Linked DNA regions of Macaca mulatta. The protein of the gene in region 1 interacts with the protein of each later gene in a biochemical or structural test. Links are inferred from orthologs where the notes say so. Each region holds a gene or a part of one and is shown on either strand. Other genes may lie near its edges.

Evidence for each region. The genes of interacting proteins can lie anywhere in the genome.
Region 2: the proteins of UBE2D1 (region 1) and TRIM22 form a complex in vitro, tested with the Homo sapiens proteins (2 studies listed by BioGRID). The link is inferred for Macaca mulatta from reciprocal best matches to the Homo sapiens genes UBE2D1 and TRIM22.

What each region holds. Positions count from the first base shown.
Region 1 is NC_133414.1:91,499,582-91,503,231, reverse strand, and holds part of UBE2D1 (ubiquitin-conjugating enzyme E2 D1), read left to right. Parts: intron 1-1,904; coding exon 1,905-1,982; intron 1,983-3,051; coding exon 3,052-3,157; intron 3,158-3,650.
Region 2 is NC_133419.1:69,875,087-69,879,251, forward strand, and holds the start of TRIM22 (E3 ubiquitin-protein ligase TRIM22), read right to left. Parts: upstream 2,899-4,165; coding exon 2,476-2,898; intron 1,887-2,475; coding exon 1,791-1,886; intron 827-1,790; coding exon 596-826; intron 1-595. UniProt on the Homo sapiens protein: Interferon-induced E3 ubiquitin ligase that plays important roles in innate and adaptive immunity.

The sequences.
Region 1 (3,650 bases):
GTGGCAAATATTTCCTGGATCACTATTATGTTTTCCTTTGTGGAATCCTAGATCATTGCACATAATGGATTGCCACAGCTCGAAACCAGGCTGTGTGTTTATCTTTTTTTTTTTAAGTCACTGAGACTTAGTTGTAATTAAGCATAATCGTTCTCACATCTGCAGTTTTGGTACATTAGAAATTAGATTAATGAAGCCAATAATTGAATTCCTACAAGTAACAAGTGTCAGTTTGCCATAGGTCTCATCACTATTCTTTTTTGTGAAAGAGAATAAATAAAATATTACAATGGGTCTGTCTTTGCCACCTTATAAATTTGCTGCTTTTAATTTTGTTGCATTGTCCTAAACACAGAATTATCTACTGTTTGATAATTGGCTACTCTCAGTAGTTATTACTTTTGTTAAAATTATTTCTTTCAGTACTTTAGAGGCAGTTTTAAGACTTCAAACAGGCTTTTTCCTTCTATGAGCAAAAATCTGATTGCATAAGAATGAGCACTGGCAGCTCAAATCTACTTTCTGGGTGAGAGTACATTAGTAACATATTTTCATGAACACCATTCTCTTCTCCCTCCCCTGAAAGAGCTTTATCTAGTGAGTTAAAGAGTTTTTAATCATATGGCCTTGTGTTTAACTTTAAAAAACACCGAAACTACTGAATTTCAAAGCGGGACTCTGGGCAGTTGTCTCAAATTATTGTTTTATTAAGTTTGTTTTTTAAAAAGGTAAAATACAATGTATTTATATAACAACTTTCAATAAGAATCCATGTATTTCTGTTTGTTTTTAATTAGTTACTAAGAACCTTCAAAATACTCTCATTTAAAGGCCCACCCTTACCTTTTGAATTATGGCCTTTCACAAATATTTTTTAGGTGAATCACATGTAACGAATGGTTATAATTATGTTATTCATAACTCCCTTACTTTGGTAATGTAAATATTTACTCTACAGTACACTGGACCATATCTATCATTGTAATTTATCTTCGTTTTCTATATTTCTTACAATTTTTGAGAAACTAGAATTAAACATATATAGTAAGAATTATTATACAGTAAAATCCTATAGCATATATGTGGAAACTTAAGGAAGTAATGAGTCTTGGTGTTATTACCAGAATGCTGATATAACATGATATATTTAATGAAATATGAAAGAATAAAATAGAATTTTAGGTATATTTTGCTAGCATTTTTCTTTTTTTACCTTTTTTTTTGTTTGTAATGTTATATTTTCTAATGGCCATAAAGAAACATGATCAAATCTAAATTTCTCTAGTAAAGTTGATTCCCAATTTGATAGTAGCATGAATATATAATTTTGTTTTGGACTTTTTGGGTTTCTCTACATTATTTTATAAATAATTACTACACGAAGATTTGGCAGATAAATTGTGTAGCAGGGTCCTTAGCATTTTCTTTTCATGACAGCCTCTTCCGTTCATCTCCATTCTTGGTCATTAAGTGAACATCAGAACTTAAGTTTTACTAGCTTCAAGCCTTTTTCAAAAAAATACTGCTTACAGCTGCAGACAATGATCTTTTCCCGCGGCAGTCTTGTATGTACACTGATCTTTAACAACTTGTACTCATAACCAGATTTGTTTGGACAAGTCACACCACTGTGTGTGTCCTGTTTTTGTTTTGTTTTAAATTTTATGATGTCGGCCTAATTGTTGGAAAATCCTCCTTCGTACCTGCAAAGAGAAACCTGTTCTCAAGGTAAATGATTTGAACTTATGACAAAATGGTTGCATTTTTTTCAAACTGGTAATATTTAATGAAATTATTTTAAACATGATGGCATTTTTTTCAAACTGATAATATTTGGGGGAAATAACTGTCGTTACAAATAAATACAGTAATCAAATGCTGATGCAAATCTTTTGTAATTTCAGCCTGATAGCGCATATCAAGGTGGAGTCTTCTTTCTCACTGTACATTTCCCGACAGATTATCCTTTTAAACCACCAAAGGTATTTTTATTTTTATGATTGATGTGACTCCCATGTAAGGGATTTTACTCTTTTATCTAGAGCTCATTTTGTATGTCAAAGACTGTGGGGGAGATTAGCATTTTCTGTTTTATAAAAACTACTGAATCTAAAATCTGATTTCTTATTGAAATACTTTATTAAGTCTATAAAACAAAAGTCAGTATCTGTCATGCTATAAATTTAATTCCTTGCTTTTCTTTCTCTTCTTATTGGATACGTGTAGTTTGGGAAATTTTTATGATTAAGAGTCAGACTTTTCATGGGATTATCTTTCCAAAGTTGATCCTTCTTTCTCGTTTTTTTTTTTTTTTTTTTTTTTTAAGTATTCAATAAACATTCACTGAGTACCTACCATGTTCTTCTACACCAAGGAATCCAAAAGTAAATATGAAACAGTCCCTTAATTTAGTATGGTAGGAGAGAGAAACACATGTTAAATTTAGATTTGCTCTAAAGAGGAAGCAAATGATAGGGATTTCAGGGAGGGGAAAAATGAGCAGATTCTGTCACTCAGGAAATAATTATTTTAAATAGTTAAAAGCAGATTAACATTGTATTTATGAAATGATATGACAACGCTTGTGGAAAATTAGGGTTCTTGATGGATTTCTTAGCTGAGACCCCTCAACTTTGCCCTGAAACAGCGCCAGCACCCTGTTTTTACATCCAAGTGTTACTTCTAGGTATCACCAATAATCAAATCAAGAAAAGGATTACTTCTGTGTATGATGAAAGCCATGGTTAATTACTTTAGATGCTACTCAACCAGTCATACCAGCTACTAGAGACTTATTTATTACACTGTCCAAAATACTTTTCAGTTCCTTGGAGGGAGAAAGAAGGAAGCTGACTTATTTGTGTTCACATTCTCACTAGCTAGAACTATGTGTAGCACAAAGTAGATAATTATTTGATTTGTGCCGAAGACTTTTCTCCTCTAGCGTTATGTAAACTTGAACATATTTTACCCTAGAGCAAATTGGTTCTGTTTTATTCATAGTTGATTCAAAGGTGATTGTCATATTTTGTTGTTTTGTTTTATGTTTAGATCGCTTTCACAACAAAAATTTACCATCCAAACATAAACAGTAATGGAAGTATTTGTCTCGATATTCTGAGGTCACAATGGTCACCAGCTCTGACTGTATCAAAAGGTAATTTCATCGATCAGATTTAAAACAATTGATAACAGTAAGACAGGAAAAATACAACAGAATTACCTATGGACTAAAGTTTTAAAACAACAATCAACTGTGCTTTCTCCTGTTTTGATTTTGTTTTGCTCTCTCCGCTCTTATGTTACTCTGGCTTTTGGCAGTTAGCTTTGGTTGAGGGGAGTGTAGACATTTTATCCTTTTAGCTTGGGTGTTATCTTTTAAAAAAGAGACAGTGCCCAGGCACTGTGGCTCATGCCTGTTACTCTAACACTTTGGAAGGCTGAAGTAGGAGGATTGCTTGAGCCCAAGAGTTCAGGACTGACCTGGGCAACATAGGAGACCCTGTCTCTGCAAAAAAAGAGAGAGAATAAGAGATAGTAAAAGGAAGATTTTGGGACTAGTTGTCCCATTCATTAAATGGAAATGTTGACAGTAATAAAGCTTTACAGCTGTTTTACTTCATCCAAGAAAAAAATAACAGATTTGATTG
Region 2 (4,165 bases), on another chromosome or scaffold:
AAATATTCATATAGCCACCAACTGGTGAATACACAAACATAACATGATTTATTCAGATAATGGAATAGTATTAGCAATAAGAAAGAGCAAAATGCTGATACATACTGCAATATAAATAAACCTCAAAATATTATGCTAAATTAAAGATGCCAGATGCAAAAGACTACATGTTGTATAATTCAGTTCATATTGAAATGTCCAGAGAAGCCAATTCTATACAGACAGAAAACAGATTGGTTGCCAGGAGGTGGAGGTAGAAGCAGATATTGACTGTAAACAGGCATGAGAAATGTTTTTGATGTGATGGGGAAGTTCTAAAACGAATTTGCTCATGGTACAAAGAATCTTCTCTCCAAGCTCAAATTTTTACACTGCCTCTCATAAGTAAATAATAAAGGGAATTTCCTTTGCCACTCATACACTTAATTATCTCTGTGACTCCTGAAATGATGGGCATAAAAGGGGCACTGCCAGGCCAAAGGAACCATTTAATGTCACCACACAGAAGAAAGCCTAGAGACTGGGAAGGGAAGGAAAATCAGCCTCTGTGTTTTTCCCCTAATCTCATATGTAGGTGCTCCATCCCAAGTCTTACCTGCAGCATCTCTATTGATGACCCCCTCAACCTCCGCTGGAGATCTGAGATGAGCTTGCTGGCATCCTGCCTCTGCTGGACCAGCTGGTCTCTAGCTGCTGCCAGGTTATCCAGCACATTCACCTCACCTTCCTCCAGCTTTTGCAGCTCTCTCTGCTCCTCACTGTCCAAGATGACTCTCATTTCATTGAACCCTTTCAGAATCTTCTGTCTCTCGAGCTGGATATAATTCTTGAATGAGAAGAGAAGAGAAAGAGGCAGTCAGTCTGGCTGGTTGAAGGCCTGCTTTGTATGAGCCTGGGAGCCAGGATAAGAACTGTTTTCCTCAGGGAGTTCTCAAAAGGAATACGAGGCAAAAGCCAATACACAATTTCTGGTGAAGCCATGCTTTTCTATTTTTTAACCGGAACTCCTTCCAAAGCAATACACTCAAGTCTTTTATTGAGGCCTAATCTGAGACAAAATGTGATGCTTGGGTGAGGCTTGGATTATAGACACCTGTCCTGAACAACCTTGCCTTTCTCTCTCTTAAATCCCTTTACCTGGTCGGGCACAGTGGTTCACGCCTGTAATCCCAGCACTTTGGGATGCAGAGGTGGGCGGATCATGAGGTCAGGAGATCAAGACCATCCTGGCTAGCATGGTGAAACCCCATCTCTACTGAAAATACAAAAAATTAGCCGGGTATGGTGGCACGTGCCTGTAGTCCCAGCTACTTGGGAGGCTGAGGCAGGAGAATCGCTTGACCTGGGAAGGCAGAGGTTGCAGTGAGCCGAGATCACTCCACTGCACTCCAGCCTAGATGACAAATCGAGACTCTTGTCTAAAAAAAAAAAAAAAAAAATTCCCCTACCCAAACCACCTAAACAGGGAATCCTGGGTCTTTCCTCAGGTTGTTTACTGGAAGGATTGGAGCCTCAAACTTGATGACACAAATGGAACACAGGATTCACAGGAAGCATTTTCACAGGTATTTCCCTCCATGCCTTCACTTCCAAATATTGTGTTGATTTATGATATGTCTGCTCTCCAGCCCCCAAACTCCAACAGGGAAGGAATTAAATGAGACCTAATCATATGACTTCTATAACTGTTAATTCTAGCACAGCAAAGGGGAAGTGGTCTCCTTGTGATAGAGCCCAAGGTCCTGCCCAGATTCCTGTCTAATTATCCCTTAGGAGGTGTCTCCTCCTGCCTTCCAGACGGTTCTCTCTTGTCTGACGTCATCTTCCAGCTTCTCAGCTTCTTGATCCTCCTTTGTCAGCTTCTGCAGGGCTGCCTGCAGCTTTTCCTGTGAGAAAGAAATTATACCAGAGTAAAGTTATGAGTTTTCTCAGCACCTGGATAGAGGATAGCAAGGAAGAAATTGGATGGCTCTCAGAAGGGACTAGTTTACAGAAACAGTGAGGCTGGTGATTAGAACCTATGGCATGGGGGAAAATCTGAGGAGATGAACGTATTCTTTATTACTGGATGATGGAAGTTACCATCCCCTTATCAAGAGTAGCCTGATTCTTTTCCTAGAGAAAAAGCAGACCCTGCATTAAGGAAAGACTTCCTTTCATTGCCACTTTTGCCACATCTAACAAGACATGTTCTCAAAAACACCTTTCTTCTCGGAGTGGCAATTAAAGCTTATCTTACAAAGCAATTCTCCATTCATTCAACTTTTCCTTGCTAAAAAATGTACTCTTTTAAATAAAAGCAATGTGCAGCACTGTCCTTCAGGCTTCAGAAACTAAGTAAAGAGTTTGGAAAGAGATCACAGGGCTCTCAGTTCTATGGTGAAAAGGGGAATAAAGCAGGACAAAAAACGTGGAGATTTCACATCAGGTACCATTTCTGCTCTCTGCTTTCTCTTCCTCTACCTTGGAGCCTACCTGACATTCCTTGACCACCTCGTTTATGCGGAATGTTTGGTGACCTTGGTGTTCCTGAGACAGTTCACAAACCCAGCAAATGACTTTTCCATCTTCCTTACAGAAGATCTGGAGTTTTTTTCCATGGTGCTCACAGATGTCTCTCTTCTGCCCCTCCTGTGGGCTCATCTTGACCTCCTTGACTCTCTCAACTATGTTGGCCAGATGCCGATTAGGTCGGAGCTTCCCAGGCTGGAATCTGCTCTGACACACAGGACAGCTGCTTTCTCCTCTTGAGATGGTCACTGACTCCTTGATCTTTGCAGTGATGCAGGCTTGGCAGAAGCTGTGGCCACAATCCAGGCTCAGAGGTTCTGTTAGGAGCTCCAGGCAGATGGGGCAGGTCACCTCCTTCTCTATGTCTACCTTTACTGAGAAATCCATTGCACTGCTCCCTTGGCTTCTTTCTGTCTTGACTCTTGAACCTCTTGGTCAGAAAATCCTGCAGTGCTGGAAATGTTGAAGGGGACATGGTAAGAAAAGCGGGAATAGAAAGAATACTGCTTTTACAGAGATTTAGAACAGGACCAAAAATTAATATTTAACAGAGAAAGGAGAAAAGAAAGGCAAGAAGAATAAACCAATGACAGAATAAAATGGACTTTGTAGTAATTTGAAACAGTTTATTCTTAATTTTTGTCTCAGGACAAATTTCACCCCATCAAGGCAATTATTGTTATTTTCTCTTCTACTGGAGAGGACAAACTGAAGCTTTTCTACCAAGAGGTTCGTGTAACCCATCATTTATCCTGCCTTTTGTTCCCCAACCCAAAACACATTTTCCATGTTAAATGCACTAAGCACACCGCTGCCCCTGGGCTTTCGCACATGCTTTTCTCTCTGGATGACGTGATTGTATCTCTAATATTTGCATGATTCACTAATACTTGTGTATTTTTAAGCTACTGAGTTGTATTTACATAGCATCATACACTCTCATTTTTAAGTGTATAATGTGATAATTTCTACTAAATTTGTGGAACTATATGACTGTTACTGTAACACAATTTAAAATTATTTTTACCACCTGAAAAAAAAAAAAAAAAACCCTAATGCCGTTACTCCTATTCTGATCCCAAGCTCCAGACAATCACTAATATCCTTTGGGTTTTTAATCAATTGATAAAAATAGAATCATAATATATGGTCTTTGGTATCTGAATTATTTTATTTATACTGTTAAGGTTTATCTCCTCTGCTTTTTCCACATGTAAAAAACACCTCCTCAATTAAACTATCAAATCTATGACTCCTCAAGGCTTTTGCACTTGCTCCTCTCTCTCCATAAAATGATCCTTCCCCTGATGTTAGCAAGAGTCATTCTTAAATTTAATTCAATCTCTTAGATGTCCTCTTCTTAGAAGGACATACTATAACTTACTTATAGCAAAACCACCAGTAATATCACTCACTGCACATTTATTTTCTTATTTTTACTATGTAATATATAAGATTGTTCTTTAAATGTCTACTTCTTCCTCCTGAAAAGTAATCCATTCATAGACATGGGACTGTTTTTGTTCACTGATATGTCCTCTATACATAGAAGAGCGAATCACATACAGGAATAAAATGTTGAACGAATATTTAAAGCTACAACTTTCTTATCCCTCCATAGATGATTAGACCTTTGAATCAGATTTTCATCTTT